4 linked regions of the Arabidopsis thaliana genome follow. The protein of the gene in region 2 interacts with the protein of the main gene of each other region in a pairwise test. Each region holds a gene or a part of one and is shown on either strand. Other genes may lie near its edges. The genes, in order: AT1G03660, AT2G01970, AT1G23890 and UMAMIT27.

Region 1 (4,977 bases), on a different chromosome or scaffold from region 2:
CATGCAAAACCAAAGCTAGAACAAGGGCTTTGTCTAGTCAGAATTTCTATTGAAAGCTCTCGAATTTACCAGAATCATTGGTCCTTGACTATATAATAATCTACAGGTTAATTTATCAAATGGTTGAAAGATTTTTCAGTAGAAGTTTGGCAGAATAATTCCACTTCTTCTCTAACGAAATTATATTTTCTGAATTTTATCACTGAGTAATTTCATCGAACAGTTGGCGGACGTTTGTCTATACCTGCGAGCTTGGTGATTGAAGCGGAAAGCGAAGATGGCCAAGAATACATGGCATAGCCTACTGTGTCTCCTTCAGCATCCACGTATAGCAAACCGGCGTTTTTCTTACGCAGCTCTGCATCGAAAGTTTGAGCGAGAGATTCGTGTTTAGGGAACGTTTTCTTCTCCAGCTTCACGATATCTTCCACAACTTTGGCCCAACTGGTCGACCCTCTAATCAGCTCTACCACAACTCCTTTGTCCATTGTACAAAAGATTCGATTTTGTGGAATCTCTCGTTGGTTTCGCAGCCGGTGAGAGCGAGTGAGCCAAGGAAATTGTGATTTGATTTTGATGAAGGTGCGTAGCGACGGCGGGGACGACTTTTAGAAACTATTTGAAATTGTGATTTGACCCACAAATTTAACTTTTGTGACAATTTAGTCCCCAGAAACAGAGGAACTGTATCAGAGACCACACCAAATTAAAAGACAACATATTTGATCAATCACTGTGAACGAACTTATGAAAGATTGCAGATAGAAACAATCAAGAGCTTGAATGTGTAATGGAAAATGTTCACAAACCTACATACACATCACTTATGTGCTTTGGAGCTAAAGACATGGAAGGAATGCCATGGAAGGAGCATCAATACAAGACAAACTCCAAATGCAAATGCAACAACCATAGACCAAAAAGCAAACATGATAAGTACCATGGCTCGTTTCATAGCTTGCTGTATCAGAGGAATATCACCCAGATGTTGTGGCCAAATAAGATTCATTGTAGCTATGACAGACAAGAGCACTGGAATGCTATTGCAAACCAGAAAAACTATGAACACTGCTTTCTTGACCAAACCTGTGATGCCTAAATCTGGAGCAGAACTGGTGTAGATCTTTGTAAATGTGAAACCCATAACAAATGTCACAACTGCTACAATTGTTGTACCACCATAAGCAATAAGATACGTTCTTGTAGTTTAGATATTCTGGGACGCTGTGAAGCACTCAAGAGAATTGGTTGTGTACCATTTGGTGAACTAGCAGATCCCAAAGCCATATCCAAGCTTATTATATCTCTGAAAGATTGAATTAAACGAGACATGATGATAGGACTTCACAAAAACATGTTTTAAAAAGCAGATTCAGAAATTTTATCATAAACTTACTCTCTTTTTCCAATTGAAACCCAAAAAGAATAGTTAGAACTTAAACTTGAAAATACACACTCAAAGATTACCTTAAGACGCTTTGAAATCTAGGTGATGAAGGAAGACGAAGAAAATAATGTTGAAGTTTTGAACTTGTAGCAACCAAAATATTTAATCCTAACAAGTCATTGACTTAATCAAAATAAGAAAGGAGAAGTCTGGATGTGCGTACCAATCAACGACGATGTTTAGCTTGCCGAGCAAGCAATTAAATAATTGAATTAAGGTCGTTGACTCCAACGCAAAAAGTCGATGATTCAAAGGTTGGGTTTTTGTCTTTATCCAAAACAACCTTATAGTTTTAAAAATATAATTTTAAAAACATTTTAAAATAAAATAAAAATAAGTGTTAAAAATCTAAATTATGTGTAAACTATATTGAACCTAGGACACTTCTAAGGGGTTTGGATGTTGTGTCTAATTAGTTTAACACAATATTTAAAAATTTAACATTTATCCAAAAAAAAACTTATAGTTTCAATAGTAATATAAAAATATAATTTTAAAAACATTTTTTAATAAATTAAAAACAAATGTTAAAATTTTTAATTATGTGTAAACCATATTGAATTTAGGACACCTCTTAGGGTTTTAGATGTTGTGTCTAATTAGTTTACATAACATTTAAAAATTTAATATTTATCCAAAAAACCCTTATAATTTTAATAGTTATATAAAAATATAATTTTAAAAACTTTTTATAATAAAATGATGATAAGTATTAAAAATTTAAATTAAGTGTAAACCATATTGAACCTAGGACACCTCTTAGGGGTTTGGATGTTATGTCCAATTAGTTTACACAAAATTCAAAAATTTAACACTTATCCAAAAAACCTTTATAGTTTTAATAGTTATATAAAAATATAAGTTTAAAAATATTTTTTAATAGAAGAGAAACAATTGTTAAAAATTTAAATATGTGTAAACGAAAACAGTTTGTTAAATAAAATTAAAAACTACTGTTGAAAATACTTTTATTTTTTTGTTGAAAACAAAAACATTTTGTAATTTATTATTTTTAAAAAATGAACGAATAATAGAAGAAATAACTTACATGGAATCGTGTTAAAAAAAAAAAAATAATAATAATAATAATAATAATAACTTACATGGAATAAGTGTTGAATTGTTGATGAACAGTGTTTGTCCACAAATCTAGTAGGCGATAACTTTCAATAGGCTGAAATTGAATAAAACGAAGAAAGGAGTGAATATTTGGTTTAGGGCTAAATTTAGAGACAGTAGACAAAAAAAAAAAAAGAGAAAAGCATAGAGGATTTTGGAAATTACTTACCGTTACAGGTCAAGAAAGAGAGGACTATGACTTTATGAGATTGGTGTTACTGCATCATCCCTAGCCCTAATGGAATTGGACAAGGAAGAACGGTGATTGTAAACGACGATTGGGCCTTGTTCTCTCCGGCGATGACTGGAATCAAACGCCGACGACGTTTATTGTTCTAAATCTTCTTAAACTTCAAACCATCAAAGATAAACATAATCCAAAACAAACCCTATTAAAGATTAAACAGAACAACGAAACTCACAATTAAAAGCAAAAGAGATTCACACCAAAATAGTTTCAGATAACACGTACCGACTGAGTCAAAATCCAATCGATCCATAGATCCTCCGAAGAAAAATAGAAATGAAAGATGGTTTCTTTTGTTTTCGTTTTGCAGAAGAAGAAGAAGAAGAAGATGAATGAAGAATTAGTTATTTTACAAGGAAGAAGAGTATTTATAAGCAAACGTTGTTCAATAGAAAAAAGGAAATTTCTATTGTTTCCTTTTTGTTTTCGACTAGGTTAAGAAAAAGGAAATTTTAATTAGGCTGCAAAAAAAGAAAAGGAAATTTCCTCACAACGGTCATATTTGTATCTTACTGCGTAACAACAATTTATCAAGACAAATTATTTGAGGTTTCTTATTTTTGAAACAGAGAATTTGGCCTTGAAAGCGAGAGGAGCAAAGTCGGGATCATGCATGTGAGCTCTTTGCAACAGCCAACGGTCATATTTGTCTCTGTACCAATTTTTGTGGTTACTTAGTAAAACCACAATTACAAACTCGTGAGATACAAAAACTGTTAAAAACAAACAGAACACTAACCATCCATCATCCATGATACAAAACAGAGCAGAATAGAACAGAACAGAGCATTCTTTAACCATCCATGTTGTTGCTGCCTTCGCTAACAACCAAAAGCATCAAGAAATAAGGAAAGTAGAAGATATGTCTGAGAAAGCCATGTCTTGTAGACGAGAAAGCGTAAGGAATGATAAGTAGCATCAGGAATACCAAGAAGGCTGAATCTATGGCTAATACAAGATGGGAAAGCCATGGGAGATCGCTCACCACAAGAGTAAGTCCAGCCACAGATGCCATCATCATTGATACAACAGCTGTTAACAGAAGTGGTAAAGCTAGTCGAAAAGCTTTCTTTGTCAGAAGTGCATCACCCAGTTGTGCCCATATTAGAGCCATTACAGTTACCACAGAAGTGCACATTGCAATGTTGTTCAACAACAGAAATACCTTAAAATTCAACTTATTGACCAATGCAGCCATGCCTAAATGTGGAGCAGAACTCATGTAACCACCGGGTAATGTCAAACCTGCAGCGAAGGTCACGGTTGCTACGAGTGTTGCAGTCACCATAAGAGTATTGACACTATCCTTGTATCTTTCTGGACTTTGTTTGCTACTCTGTGACACAGTCAAGGGAATCAGGTTTGGGCCATGTGGTGCTCCAGCAGATACCAAAGCCATCCAAATCAATCTCTGTAAACCAATAAAAAAAGTTACATGAGACTTTATCATTAACTACATGAATCTTCAAATTTGACATACCTTGTAAAGTACGTAAGCGTTATTGTCCTTCATCGTCTCAGCAATATCTAAAGCTGTAAAGCCTTCATTGTTGAGTGCTCTGAGGTTAATCCCATCGTTCCATGTAAGCATATTCACAACTATCGGGTATCTGTGTTTAGTGGCTAGGTGTAACGGTGTATTCCCATTGATATCTTGTTCATTCATCATTCTTTTCCCTTCATCAAGTTTTAAAAGATACTTGACAACTTTCGACTTACCAGCTATGGCAGCAACGTGAAAGATATTCTGACATTGATTGTTAAGTAGCTCTCTTGAGTCAGGACAGTGTTTAAGAAACTCCTTAATGATTCTGACATGTCCTTCCTTTGCCGCCATATGAATAGGAGTGAAGCCATCATCATCAGCGACATAACAAAGGCTTGAAGCTGCTTTGTCAAACTCTGCTAGTATATAGCGAATTCCCTCATAACATCCCATTGATGCTCCATAGGAAAGACATGTCCTTCCTTCTTCGTTGCGTAATTCAATAAGTCCTGGATCTTGTCTAAGAACAATACCTAGGATATCTGTCAAAGCAATGACCAAGAAATAATTAAAACATATAAAGAACACTTGGCGTACAAGGTTGAACAAACATAGAAACAAACCTCTTCTATTGGCCTTCATTGCTGCATGTATAACAGATTTTCCACTGAACATCGA
Region 2 (5,402 bases):
AAGATTTTGAAAAATTAGTTTATTTAAAGTACATATATTAATTTGTTTTAAATATTTGAAGCCGTGATATGCAAGATTTAATACCACTAAATCCTAATAAGATATGACGAAAGAGAAAATCTTTTCTTGATATATTTTTAAAAAAGTCATAATCTTTTGTTCTTGTTGTTTGTTGTGTTAGACTGGATGCTGCAATCGGCCAGGGAATTGCAAACTAGAGACGGTCAATGCAACATTGTGGGTTACAAGAAATCGTGAAGGACCACCTTTGGAAACGGCAATGATCTATGATCGTTACGGTGGCAATGCAGACATAAAGGATTATTACGATATGTGGAGACACGAGTTAAGTGTGTTGTACTATGATTGTATGACTTGTCAGGTTAGGATCATTAAGTCTCCAAGGCTGCGCAAATGGTGGCAGTTCGGTGTTTTCTTATCTTCCCTCACCTCTTTGTTTAGATAGATCACAAATTCATAGATGATTTTGATCGAATAGATTAGCGATTTGGTTCAAGAGAGTTGTTATTTTTTCGTCTTTAGAATATATATAGATCAATAAAAAAAAGGTTACAAAGTTATCTTAATTAATTACCAAAAAAAGAAGATAACTCTCTAAAGTAGTAGAGAAGAGAAAGACTTCACCTAAACAAACATAGTTTCGTCTATAAATCATATCACAGAAAACAAACTGCCACAAAACATTTTAACAAAAAGGAAAAAAAATGTGACCACAGAGCGATTTGGTATTCAGTTTCTGGCTTCGAAGAAGTCTTCTTCTTTATCTACCTAAGAACAGATTATCATCTTCTTTGTTCTACCAAAAATCGTAAGGGGGAGGGTGATTGGCAGCAACAGTTTTACTCGCATTTAATCGACCGGTAAATGTGGCGGACGAAGAGGAGAGCAGCGCGGAAGCCAACGGTTCCAAGCATGAGGAAGAAACCGTAACAAATGCAAGCCATGTACCCGAAGAAGAAGGATGTTTGCATGAAACCAGACATGTCTGATCTTGCGTAGTAGTAGTATAAGCAGTACGCATATATAAACAGACCAGTCGATCCACCACATAGGAATGATCTGCAACAAAGAATATTAATAACTATAACAATGTAATTTTATTATCACCAATCCAATTCAAATTCGAATTTAAAATCTACGGAAGGATTTAGTAGATGTGCCTAATCAAGCCAAACTGAAACCCTACGTAAGTAATCAGTTTGAAACTGATACTAAAACGAAACACAAACCATAGCAATTCTAAGCTATTTGTATTTGGTATTATCATTTGGTTTTCTATATTCCATATACCAAAAACCGAATTAAAAAACCAGCTTGGGTGGAAAAATTTACCTCCACCACCATTCATGATCTTCAGCAGCGAGTTGGAAGTAAGTAAGGGCAACTGTTATAAAAGCAGTGACGATCAACAGGATGATGAAGACGATGAAGAGGATGCTGTAAATGGTATAGATACGATGGCCCCAAACACTGGCAAAGATGTAATATAGCTCGATGTAGATGGCACTGAAAGGAAGAAATCCAGCCATGGCCATCTGCGGTACAGCACTCCTGTACCATGGGAGTGGCGGGATCTCCCGAGGATACTTAGTGGTGCGGACTGGAGCTTGGAACTCAGCTTTGCTGTTTTTACCGGCAATACCACCCAACACAAGTAAAGGCGAAGTGACTAGTGTCCATATGAGGACGATCACTATGATGGTTCCAAAGGGAAGAGCGGCAGTTGCACTGTATGCGATTGCAACGGTGTTTAGGAAGCAGAAGGTGAGAAATAGTGGGCCACAGAAGAGACCTCCAGTTAGCAGCAAATTTCTCACCTGAAGAGGAAGAACGGTGAGAAATGAAAAGCTTATCACTTTAAGTTGAAAAGAGTAAAGGGAAAGGGTTTACATACCCAATTCTTTCCTTCGAGTTGACAGTAGAAAGAGGAGGCAGTGTATCCGGCAATTCCAGATGTGAGAGCATAGATAACGACCAAAGCAGTGAAGAGTGCTCCACGGTTGTATGGATAGAACACTCCAACAAGTGAAAGCATGAAAATGAAGATGGTCCTGATGACATATGAGGTATATTACAGTTAGTAATGGCAAAGAATAACTAAAGATAAACGAAGGAGGCTGAAAAGAGACTTACAGAGTGAACAACTGGGTACCGCTACCAAGAGATGCAGCAAAGAGAGATTTGTTCTTTGGGAACCGGAAGACATCTCCATGAATGTATTTCCATCCGGTTTCCTCTTGATCATCAGCAGCTTCCTCATCTTGAGCATACCTTTGAAAGTTAGGGGAAAAGTTAATGGTTGGAAACAAAAGTGTGCATCGGTGAGTCAAGCACAAAGAGTTAGCATTCAAAACTTACTTCATGAAATCATTCTTGAGGACCCGCATCAGGATGGTTGCAAGGAAACCAGTCAAAAGAAGGACAGTGACGCAGGAGTTAATAATGGAGAACCAGTGGATTTCCAAGTGATGTGGAAGAGAAGAAGACATAGCATACTTATCCATTCTTTTCTCAAAAGAAGTCTCAGTTTCCTTCCACTTCACAGTGTACATAAACTCAGCATCGACTTCCTTATCCTCAGTAAGATCCACAAGCGAATGAGGATCCATTCTAGCATTGATTTCAATCACCCGATCCTTATTGTACAAAATCTCAAACTGGATGTGTTTGTAGAGAAAATATTTAAACTCGCTAGGATCAGATTTGCTCTCTTTGTCCACCTTCCCAATGAATCCCCAAATAGGCAAATCATCATAATACATCTGAAAGTAATAATCTTTTTCAACAGCTCTTCGAAAGTGTTCAACTTCTTCTCTACTAAGCTTCTTTTTACAGTACACCTCTGAGTCTTTCTCATCTCTAAAGTTAAGCTTGTATGGAGCACTAACAAGCCTATCCCCATTCAAAACCTCACCAAGAGCTTCCTTCTTATCTTTCACACCCTCTACACAAACCAAAACAAATGCATATTGACACCAAAATACACAAATCCGAAAAAAGTGAAAAACCACACATAACAGAGACAACATTGAGCGTGCTCGTACCTGGAATACAAAAGGGGAGATCGAAATAGCGATACGTCTCACTGCAACAATCATCAAACACAAGTAAAAATCAGTCATATAACAATGCAATCGAAGATCTATCACATTTTAAGAACACGAATCGAATTTTTTCAAGGTCAGATACAAAAATTCAATACCAACGCAAGCTTCTACAGAAATTTGCAACGATCAATTTATCACTCATCAAAGAGAATCACAGATCTAAGCTACCGACAAAGGAACTGAGATTAGAGAATTGGATTTACCTGGGATTGTGAAAGGGGCCGACCTTGTTGGCGTAGAGAGGAACGGAGTCACCGTCCTTGTAACGGTGGTCGGAGGCATCGGATCTGACAGTACCGGCGCCGGAGAAGATGAGAGCTCCGATAAAGAGGAGCAGCGTCGTTGGTAATCTCATGATGATGTGTGTTAATGTGAGAGGAAGAAGAAAATCGTGAGATCTGAGTTTGCTTTATATTTTTGAGAGCAACGCTTATGGCAAAAGGACGATTATATTACTTTTATTTATTTTATCTCTCTTTTTAACGAATTTTCTTCTACTAAATGCTTAAGAAAAAATATTGCGAATAAAAAGCATTATGTAAGAAAATAAAATCTGCGACATTTTAATATTTTTTTTAGAAATTGAAATGATTATTTTTATATATTTTATTTTTGGTTGTTTTCTTAAATCTTCTAAACAAAATTCGTATTAATTCACAAAATTTTAAATTATTTAATACGTTTCGTAAGAAACTTGTGAATGGCAGAGGCAAGTGATATAAACTGAAGCAAATAAAACTTTCTATAATCGATATTTTTTGTTACAATTGTCGTTTTTTTTTTAATAAGTAGCAATTTTCTATTGGTAGAGTGATTCTCTCGTTCTTGTGCTTTCTACTATTTATAGGAGTTTTATTGCATTCCATGTGACTATAACAATCAGTAATGTTCTTTTTACTCTTTAACAAAATCATGATGATGAAGATACAAATAAAAAGGTGGTCAAAAGAAAAAAGATCAATAGTGCCTCGTTTTTTTTTTTCACAATAGTATCTCGTTTATGAAATTGATTAAAGCAAAGCAAGTAAAAAGTATTATCAATTGGAATATAAACCAAATTTTTTGTACATAAAATGAATGATGTAGTAATTTATATACCTGATTATCTTAACTAAACTCAATTTTTTGCAACCAAACCAGATAAATAAGAACACTATAAAATTAAGATGTTAATTACACAGACAATAATTTTATTTATTTATAAAGTTTATTTTTGTAACAGCTCTGATACTTATTGATTTTGCACCTTCTTTGATGGTGGTGGCGAATCATACACTCATCAGCGACCATGATATGTAATCCATCAACGAGTTCTCTCTGAATCTTCTCGCCTGGAACCAGTTTTCCAGAGCATAAACATAAGCCTTAGAACAAAACAAACATCTACTATCCCCTGAACTACTAATGATAGAGTAATCAATGTAAACTCTTTTCCTATTGTAGAATTTACCATTAGACAAATTATTATGCATGTTGTTAGCATCTCTACTCTTGAAAAATCTTCGTAAGCTGATTGGAAAATCAAAGAATAACAAACTAACTAACTAACAATCACTACTCTATAAGCAAATCTTGAATACCAATAGAGATTCTTTATGTTGGATTCTATCTTTGAGCATTTCATTAGGATCGACGGTTGGTCGATTAATCAATACTAACCCAAACAGTCTTTTAACATGCACACTTGATACCTTGTAGGTGCTTCTGGGTAGCATGAAAATGATAATTGGTGTTATTCTGATATGCGAAATTGAAAATGTTGTTGTGCATCAGCTAAGCATAATTGAAAGTTTAAAAAATATTATAAATTTAACGTGAAGAATTGAAAGGTATCAGATTAATGTTTTGGATCAGCCGAATAGAGTCAGGCTAATCCAAATTCTCAAATATTTTCGAAACCTTAAACACATCAAACTCCACGAAGTAAACACACTCACACACATATCAAAATCCACATTATAAATGTATTTTTGGTAGGCTAGTCGTCTAATTCTAAAATAGCCAATTTACATTTGCAATTGTTTATTCAAAAAAGTACAACAGTAAGAGGTCTTATCAATTAAATCATAAGAAAAATATGTCCCAAAATGTCAAAAAACCAACTACGAATATTTCTTTTCCTTTTAAGGCCAAACCAGGTTTTGGAATACTTATTACAAATAAACTCAATTTCAATAAATTCTTGTACACAAATTAAGCACTAATTTCATTGTGAAGATACCATAGTCACATTCACATCTATATGACATCAATCTATAAAATCCAAAACAAACT
Region 3 (4,460 bases), on a different chromosome or scaffold from region 2:
CTCCTGTATGCATAAGTAGAGTGTTCTGTATAATATTTATAGACTTACCGTTCTGAAGTACTCTAGGGCTTCATCATTAATCGTGCATAATTCATAACAAAGTTGAACTCCTGTTATAAGAACCCCATGATGCTTTTCTTTAAGCAAGGAAGCAGCAGCATTTACGAAGTTTTCTGCTAGATCTGGAACTTTCCTTATTATTCTAGTAGAGCAAAGCGCCGCCTGCATATAATACAACATAAATGGTAAAGGCAATGAAGGAAAAAAAAAAAGCGACTAAACTCCAGGAGACCCTGTATATGAATTAGAAAACACTTCACCTTCTTTCGGATATTAGGGTCACGAAACTGGATTAATCTTTCTACTTCTGGCGCAAGATCACGGGCCATTTCTGCTGAACAAATATTCCCTAAAGCACAGAGAGCAAGTCCTACAACATACTGGTTCGAGTGATTAAGATCTCTGCACGTGACTTAAGGTTAAACAGGAACAAATCTATTTAAATATTTTTCTCCTTAATTCCCATAACAGCAATGCAATCAAAAATCAAGTGTTCTCTAGTATTTTTTAACATAGAAGAAGAATCCATTCAAAGGCCAAGGTATCAAGATTTAATACTAGAAATTAGTAAGGATACTGTTTTAACGAATTTGTGACAAGCATCAACACTTCTTGTCTCTCATCAAGAAGCAACATTAGCCCTAGATATCCAATCCTCTTCTCTGGAAATCCAGGAGATGCAATTAGCTTCAAGCACTCCATCTGCCCAAAGTGTGTGGGATAACCCAGCATGTGTATAAACATGAGTTTCGCAAGGTTCCGGTGCCGATCATGCGGGTCATCTTCATTAATCAATGCTCGAATATCGGCACACTCCTTTCTTACAACAGCTCGCTCCTCCGCAGCTGTTTTGCATGCTCTTATGGCACGGATCATGTCCCTGAATCATACTCATATGTCCACTATAACTTCAGAACCATATACAATAATCCGATCTGATTCCACTATTAAACCCCAACAGCAACATGACCAATCCAATATTCAATTAAATTAAGCAAAAGGATTACCAAAAATCCTTAGTGTGATCATGTTCTTAGACTAAAATCAAAATTCTAAATGGAATCAGAAACACCAATACCAAATTCATCTTCGAAACAGGCCAATCAACAAAATTCAATCCTCAAATGAAAACGAGCTCAATTACATCATGTTATATTCAAATTTCATTTGTAAGCTGATCAACGACTAAGAAACCTGAAACAGAAACGATAAAAAGGAAAGAAGAGAATCAATTTACCTTAAACGAGTACCAGAAGAAAAGGGATTCATGATTTGGGGTGTTCAAGAGTTGGACCTTGGTCCACCGGCAACTTTACGAGGAATCTGAAGAAAATGAAAACTTAGCCGGGAAGAAGAGTTTCGCCGCCGGGATTGTGAAAATCCGTTACCGGAGTTTCGAGTAGCTGATCAATACGAGAGAGAGAGATGAAAATGAAACTGAGGATTTGGATCTCGATGGACGATGCTCGTTTTTTTCTTCTCAGTCTTCGTAAACCATAATTGCCAAATTAAATGCGTTGTATAAACATGACTTCCATTTCCACCTAAACGGTAACGTTTCGACCAGCAATCCTCTCAAAACAAAAACATAGACTGGGCCGTTTCTTTATAGTTAAACACATAAATGGGCCCTACTTGGGCCGTTTTTATTAGTCAAATTTGAGAGGGTCGATGATACGCGCTCTTTCATTGGTTGTTACACAAATTCTCCCCTACACTTGAACACATCATAGTATCGCTCAGGCCCTAGTATCTTTTTAAAACCTTTAAAGATGCTAAGCAGCAAAAATAAGTAACACAACACAAGTTACACAGAACAGTCGCTTTCTCCTCTCGATTTTGACATGGCTTGGGGATTTTCGTCCGTGTCTCTCTTCTTGTTCGTCGTTTTCAATCTGGGTATATTTTCAAAAATCTGTTAATTCAGTTGAATTTCCCAACCCAAAATTCGAATTTTTAATTTTCCTCATGATTTTGTTACAGTGAGTGGTAAGATAGTTTTAGAAGAAGGGTACGAAGTCACAACGGTGGTCGATGGCCATAAGTCTGGTCTGAATCCATACACGATTCATGCTTTACCAGGATCTTCTAATCTGATCGTCCTTGATTCTTCCGGCAGTACATTTTACACTACTTCCTTTCCTTTGTCCGTTGGTAAACACCCACAAAACCACTCTTTTGTCTCATCTATTAATCGGATCATTATAATTGTGTTTGTATATGAGTTGTAAATTCATGGATGCATAAGTAAATGTTTAGAGCTTGTTGATTTTGATTGCAAGTCTTGACCTTCATTTTTTCTTTCTCCGTAATCTCAAATTGGACCACAATACTAATATGTGTGTGTATGTGTGTGAAACGATCAACCTGCAAATAAAAGTTCTAAACTTTACTATAAGTGAAAATTTTGTTTATCTTTCTTTCAATTGAAGTTTGAGCTCACTTTGAGTATGTGTGTGTGGTTGTGCAGATAGTGTGATAAACCGGTTTGCTGGGGATGGGAGTTCGGGTCATGTAGATGGTAAAGCTGGTAACAGCCGGTTCAGCAAACCCCGTGGTTTTGCTGTGGATGCTAAAGGGAATGTTTATGTTGCTGATAAGAGTAATAAAGCTATACGGAAGATCAGCTCTTCAGGTGTTTGTTTAATCCATTTCTTGTATTCCTTTTGTATAAATGCTAGTTGTTGTTGTTGTCTAATCTTAGTTTGTTGAAAGAGCCACTTAGTTTATTTTGATTATGCATGTTTTATTTACTGGACTTTGTAGGTTCTGTAACCACCATTGCTGGAGGGATCTCAAAGGCATTTGGACACAGAGATGGACCTGCACAGAATGCTACTTTCTCTAGCGATTTCGAGATAACTTTTGTTCCTCAAAGATGTTGTTTGCTTGTTTCTGATCATGGAAATGAAATGATTCGCCAGATAAATCTTAAGGAGGAGGATTGCCTCGAAAACTCTCATTCTAGTATGTCTTTTCTATAAGTAATCTTTTGTGGATTTGACTAACCATGCCTTTGGAAACTTCAACGATTCTTCTTTCACTGTTTCAGATTTGGGGACATACTCTCTTTGGTCAATAGGGATTGTCCTTTCCTGCATTCTCGGGGTAGCCATTGGATTTGCTGTTCGCCCTTACGTCATCCGTCATGTAAGTTTTTTTTAATCTATCCTCATATTACATACTAGTGTATAATCAACATATCAAATCTCTTAAACCAAATCGTTATAGACAGGAAGAAGTGAACCACCTCTCGTTCATCATGACATGGAAGCTTCTCCTAACCAAATTGGGGGAACAAGTTCTGACCTTCTTCTCCTACATTAGAAACCGAGTTGCTGAATCAACCGTTTATTCAGTATTAAGTAGACTAGTTATGATGATCGTGTCTCACCTTTCCCTCATGTATTCCGCCCTAAGTAGTTTAATTTGTTCGATGGTATCTAGCCTTTTCTTCATGTGTCAACCCAATAATGTAGCTATTTTAGACAAAACAGTCTCTGTGTCTGATCCCGAGAGTCCAGGTTGCGGCAACCCAAAGCCGCCCCTTTCACTGAAACCCTCTGATGATCTTATTGACCTAATAAGCTTTGATGATGAACAAGAACCTAACAATGACAAAGATTGCAGGAATGAAGAGACTCTTCCTCATGCAACCATAGATGACATTATAAAGGTTCATGTTGAAGAATTTTCAAAGATGGCTGAAGAAGATACTGTAATTCATGGTTCTTCATCTACTGAGTAGGTTTCAGTTAAAAGCACATGAATCAGAGAGTATGTGTCTTTTGTAAATGTAAAGTTTGGTTGAGTTGAAAAATCTTTGAATATTTATTGAAGTGCTCATCTTTTTTTCTTTATATCAAGGAAGAATGATTAATCTTTGGTACTTTTCTTACAAGAGAGATCTAAATACCCAAATCCCTATTGTGCCTTCTCAACAAATTTTAAAAAACTATACCTGAATTCCCAATCTCTACTACTACTATCATATTAAGCAACTTCTCATGTCTATGAATAGTATCCATATGGGTAACTCACAAATTGGTGAGCTCTGTGGTGGATATTCTGATGAGTATTCATCTGGTCTTGCTCCTGGCCTGGCCCAAACACAATCTCATTAGTCTTCTCGCTGCTCTGCTCATAAAGAGTGTATGGGATTGTTGAGTGATGCCTATGGTGATACTGCTGATGCTTCTCTTGTTGCTGCTCCTGGAGGAATTCGGCGTCCAAGCTTCTGTACAAGGCACGGCTTTGGCGCAGCTGTTGCATTTTCTCTGTTGCATCTTTGGACATGAAAGGATAAATTTTTCCAGGAGTGGCGTTCCTGGACTCGACGGGAGGTGGTTCATCTTTGTTGTGTATTACAAAGCTTTCTTGAATTGGCCATGAAGTTGTGC
Region 4 (4,596 bases), on a different chromosome or scaffold from region 2:
TGTTCCCAATTTGGATTCGATCCCTTTTACGCTCTGTCCTTTCACTGGATCCATGCAGTACCTCGTTTTTGTTATTTATAATGCACATAATAATTGTTATACATTTCAATATAGAAGTTAATGAAAAAAATTATACTGTATTAGTATATAGTTGTTTCTCCCCAATATGGGTATCGAAATTTTGCCTTCCTTTATTTTGTCCGTCGAACTTTGTAGGGACAAAAAGCAGATGCTATTCTAGATTAAGGTAAGGCTTAGAAAAAATGGACGGGGCATTTTCACTCCAGTAGTGCATAATATATATACAGTAGTACTAATTACAATTGGTCTTTATTTTTTCTAGACCTTAAATTCTTACTGTTTTAGCAACAGGCTACAAACTCAAAACGCAACACATTTAAAATCAGCACGAAAATAATCCAAGAAACAGAGCTTTTGAAACTAAAAACAATATTACGAGGCTCTTTTAACAGATCTGTTGTGAAATGTTTTGATATATCATATATGCTTTATATTGGTTAGTTTTGAATATTATAACAAATCTGTTTTGTTATCTCTTTACGAAATTATAAATCTGCAAACGAAAAGTATGAATTATACAAACTGCTTGCACAATTTGAATCTGAATATTTATGACTGGTCTTTAACGTGAGTGTGCTTGCACAATTTAAATCTAAATATTTATGACTGGTCTTTACGGTAAATGTATTCAGTAGTAAATACTAATTTACGACAATGAAGCCATATGAATCTTTCTATGACAACAATATTATTTGATTAAATGGGCGACCTAGACTCGTTGATCTTCGTTGTTCATCCGAGAAGACAATGTAGTTATGTCTGCTTCCGTTTCTTTGTTCTTACCCCACAAGAACACGTAGAGACCTATTATTGTCCCTACTGATCCAATCACACTGTATAGCAAAAGTTACAAAATAAATTGTAATTAGTAATACGAGCATGAACCTAATACATTAACATCTATAAAGCTATACAAAAAATTTCATAGAGATGATCGAAGAGAGCACCTTCCGAGGTATAAAGGAGTGTGTAAGATAAGGAAATCGAATAGAGTAGCCGATATGAGAGAAACTGGCATAATTGCTGATGCGAAAACAGCTCCTAATCTGTTTATTCCCCATGTCGCTGCTACAGTCGACATTGCTTGTCCTATCACTCCCTATAATACGTGTATAGTAATAAGGTAATATTAGGTAAACCCCAAAATTTATTTAATTATTTACATATATACTACATTATAATTTATAAAAATGTTAAGATTTCTGATAATATAGTATTATAACTTACAGCATATATTATGACACCAATCACAAATCCATCGTCGATGATCCAATGTTTAAGGTCTCTACTCTTGTAAAGACTCAATAGAGCACATTGAAAAGCTGCGAAAATTGACATGAGACAAGTGCTTGAGAATTTGCAAGGATACTTGATGCTTAAAGTCCCTTGAAACAATATCCATAGAGATAGCAACACGATTCCTATGACTAAGTAGAGACATCCAAGAAGCCAATTCTTGGTGTTGTGATCGCTGTTGTTGTGAGGAAGAGCCTCTAGGTGAGAGTGAGAGTTTGATATATGAGGGCCTTTGTAAAATGTTAAGAACAAAGCTCCACTTATACATATTAGAGTTCCCATCACTTTTATCATTCCTGCTTGGGTCTTTAGATCTTTTATCTTCTCAGTTCTGAAAAGTAATATAACCTTTTAGATGATAAATTTGAGATAATTTATGAGTAAGGTTCTTTTGAGTATTTCTATATATAGAAGTATAATATGCTTGATGAAAAAACAAAAGAAATTATATGCACTGTATACATAACAAATACGAATAAATCCTGCATGAACCCATTGCATAGTAATAGTAAATACAGTACTTATTTTAATGATAAAGAAGTTAGATGGTTCCATAATTACCTCAAAATAAGAGCGAAAGCAAAGGTGATTGCAGGCATCAAGCTTACCAAAGCACACGCAACAGTTGCTGACGTGTAGGACAGACCAAGCAAATAGAAAAATTGCATCAAACTCGCCCTGCAAATTTAAACCCAAAACTAAGCTAAGATTAAAAACAATTTAGCTAGCTTATGAAGATTTTATGCTCACTTGAAAGAAAATCTTTCTTCTGTGGAAACAATCAATGTATAATGGAAAAGGAAAATGGAAAATGGACGACAAAAGAACATAAGAAATTGTGAGAAGACAAACCCGAGCAAACCACTGATGAAATGATCGACCATTAGCCTAAACGTTATTTTCGGTATTATTTTCCTGTTAACAATAAGACATAAACTTTAGGGGAAAGAAAATATCAATCTACTTCATATATTAGTAACATGTAGTGGTGTTTATTTACATGTTATAATAGAGCATTCTGACAATCTTCAATTGTAGTAAATGTTGTTAATTATGTAAATATGAAAAAACTATTTTGATATAATCAAATTTTTGAAAATTTTGCATAAGAAAAATATATAACTCAACTATTTTCATCAAAATATCAATAAACCTTTCCAAAAAATAGGCGATAGGAACCAGAATGAAAGAGGAAATAGCCATTCGATAAGCACCAATGATCATATGGTTCACACCAACATCAAGAGCTTTCTTCACAAGTGCATTCACCGAACCCATCGCTACTTGTGATGTCACCATAACTATCATCGGTGGCCATTTTGAGACTACTTTCACTCCTCGCATATCCTCACCCATCTCTCCCTCGTTCTCTCTTTCTTGAATTCTATGTGAGTTTGTGTGTTAGAAAGAGTTAAGACCCAAAGTACTTTGAGTTTGGCAACCACCCTTCCCATATTTATAACTTATAAGAAAGAGTACTGTGTTTGGGTTCTGTCATTTTAATAGAAAAAACCCCTGAATTATTGCTCTATTATATTAACTTAGTGGTCTTTCTATCAAAAATAAATAAATAAAAAACTTAGTGCTGTCAAGTTCAATTTAAATAATATTAGAATCTTGTTCCACATTATGTAAAATTATAAATTACAAAATAGTTCAAATATTTGAACAAGTTGAATGTTCCTACACACAACTAGCTTAATTTTATTTACTTTTCTGGTCTAAAAAAACTTTCTTTTTATATAGGATAAGCGTTTGTGAAGAACAAAGCACTACTACAAACCCGAGCATATTATTAACTAATGAAAGAACAAAATTAGTAGGATACTTAAGTTTAAGAAGTCGTCACAAATATAACTGCTCATGCGGTAACAATCTTTTTTTTTTCCGGTCAATATGTGTATATTTACTGTTATATTTATTTATTTATTATATAGTAGAAATGAGAACCGATACATTGGCTTTATCACACGTTTCATGAGGCGCCGATGAATTAGCTTTTCCATTTTATACGTTATATGAGTAAATGAGAAACCGATACATTGGCTTTATCATGCGTGTTATCTGCCGCGCACCTTATTAATTAGCAAAATGATTTTCATAAAAGAGAGTCGGAGAGATGATGTAACTGAGTTTAGTGAGAAAAAATAAGTCATGCAAACCCGAGCTAGTTGGTATATCTAAATCTATACTTCGTGTAATCTAATGACACTTAAACATTTGTAATCTAATGACACTTAAACACTTGCATGCCCGTCTCCGTCTGGTCGTATAGGTTCAAGTTTGGGTTCTTTACTTTCAATTGTAATTGGACTGACTCAAGGATTTGTTGAATTTGGTGCAAAATAGGAAAAAACACGAACTTTTCAACGAGATAAACTAATCATATGTAGTAAATAAGTACTATATGAGATTTTGCAACTCTCATTCAATAACTTTTTGCGTGCAAATTTGTTTTGTGCCCATTTTGAATTATATTCGATCCATTAATTATTCTCTTTTGTCTTTTCATTGGATCCATCTTGTTTTGCACTATCTCGTTTTTGTTAATTATAAATGCGTATAATTAGCTCTATATTTGAACTTTTAAAGTTGATGAAAAAATTATATTATCCCCATTTGGGTATATCGAACTCTTTCATTCCTTTAGTTTGTCCATATAACTTTGTAGGGACAAAAAGCAGATGCTATTTTTAGATTCAGTAAGTTATCTAGAAAAGGCTTAGAACATAATGGACGGGGCATTTTCTCTCCAGTAGTGCAGACATATATATTCCTTCTACTAATTAGATCAATTCACCAAATATAATAACAATTGAGTTAGTGGTTCTAATGATGTTAAATTTTTTTTATAAAAAAGTTGTCACAAAAGAAAAGTTAGTGGTTTTGACTTAGTTCTAGAATAAATTTACAAGATTGGTATATAATATATTCTATCTTTTCATATTAAATCATATCTAAAGTTTTTCACATAAATTAAGAAATAATAAAAAAAATATTTTGTTTATTTTATATATATAAATTGTTAAAATAAAACTAATTCAACTAGTAAAAAACATATTCTATTATATAAATGGTTACAATCAAATATATTTAAACTTTTGAAAACATCACTTGAAATAAGATAAACAAAATTCTCTGGATCATCATTTAAAACAAAACAGAGAAAGTATTCGATGAAATTAAAACAGTATAACCAACAGCTCAATAATTATTATA

The links.
Region 1: the proteins of AT2G01970 (region 2) and AT1G03660 interact in a protein complementation assay, tested with the Arabidopsis thaliana proteins (one large-scale study listed by BioGRID).
Region 3: the proteins of AT2G01970 (region 2) and AT1G23890 interact in a protein complementation assay, tested with the Arabidopsis thaliana proteins (one large-scale study listed by BioGRID).
Region 4: the proteins of AT2G01970 (region 2) and UMAMIT27 interact in a protein complementation assay, tested with the Arabidopsis thaliana proteins (one large-scale study listed by BioGRID).

What each region holds. Positions count from the first base shown.
Region 1 is NC_003070.9:910,616-915,592, forward strand, and holds AT1G03660 (Ankyrin-repeat containing protein), read right to left. Parts: upstream 3,194-4,977; 5' UTR 3,039-3,193; intron 2,981-3,038; exon of another isoform or gene 2,917-2,980; 5' UTR 2,736-2,916; intron 2,622-2,735; 5' UTR 2,551-2,621; intron 1,651-2,550; exon of another isoform or gene 1,468-1,650; intron 1,307-1,467; 5' UTR 1,145-1,306; coding exon 821-1,144; 3' UTR 695-820; downstream 1-694. Other genes in the region: AT1G03650 (Acyl-CoA N-acyltransferases (NAT) superfamily protein), read right to left, coding at 245-488; AT1G03670 (ankyrin repeat family protein), read right to left, coding at 3,607-4,224, 4,294-4,841, 4,923-4,977.
Region 2 is NC_003071.7:451,337-456,738, forward strand, and holds AT2G01970 (Endomembrane protein 70 protein family), read right to left. Parts: upstream 3,624-5,402; 5' UTR 3,484-3,623; coding exon 3,332-3,483; intron 3,107-3,331; coding exon 3,066-3,106; intron 2,966-3,065; coding exon 2,380-2,965; intron 2,293-2,379; coding exon 2,155-2,292; intron 2,073-2,154; coding exon 1,916-2,072; intron 1,839-1,915; coding exon 1,354-1,838; intron 1,081-1,353; coding exon 861-1,080; 3' UTR 522-860; downstream 1-521. Other genes in the region: TET14 (tetraspanin14), read left to right, coding at 182-466.
Region 3 is NC_003070.9:8,438,248-8,442,707, reverse strand, and holds AT1G23890 (NHL domain-containing protein), read left to right. Parts: upstream 1-1,841; 5' UTR 1,842-1,904; coding exon 1,905-1,959; intron 1,960-2,043; coding exon 2,044-2,214; intron 2,215-2,530; coding exon 2,531-2,695; intron 2,696-2,826; coding exon 2,827-3,027; intron 3,028-3,112; coding exon 3,113-3,210; intron 3,211-3,291; coding exon of another isoform or gene 3,292-3,295; coding exon 3,296-3,808; downstream 3,809-4,460. Other genes in the region: GAMMA-ADAPTIN 1 (gamma-adaptin 1), read right to left, coding at 49-222, 321-462, 638-940, 1,298-1,329; AT1G23880 (NHL domain-containing protein), read right to left, coding at 4,072-4,460.
Region 4 is NC_003070.9:3,851,454-3,856,049, reverse strand, and holds UMAMIT27 (nodulin MtN21 /EamA-like transporter family protein), read right to left. Parts: upstream 2,867-4,596; 5' UTR 2,734-2,866; coding exon 2,531-2,733; intron 2,293-2,530; coding exon 2,230-2,292; exon of another isoform or gene 2,056-2,229; coding exon 1,939-2,055; intron 1,709-1,938; coding exon 1,309-1,708; intron 1,181-1,308; coding exon 1,029-1,180; coding exon of another isoform or gene 1,004-1,028; exon of another isoform or gene 915-1,003; coding exon 791-914; 3' UTR 543-790; downstream 1-542.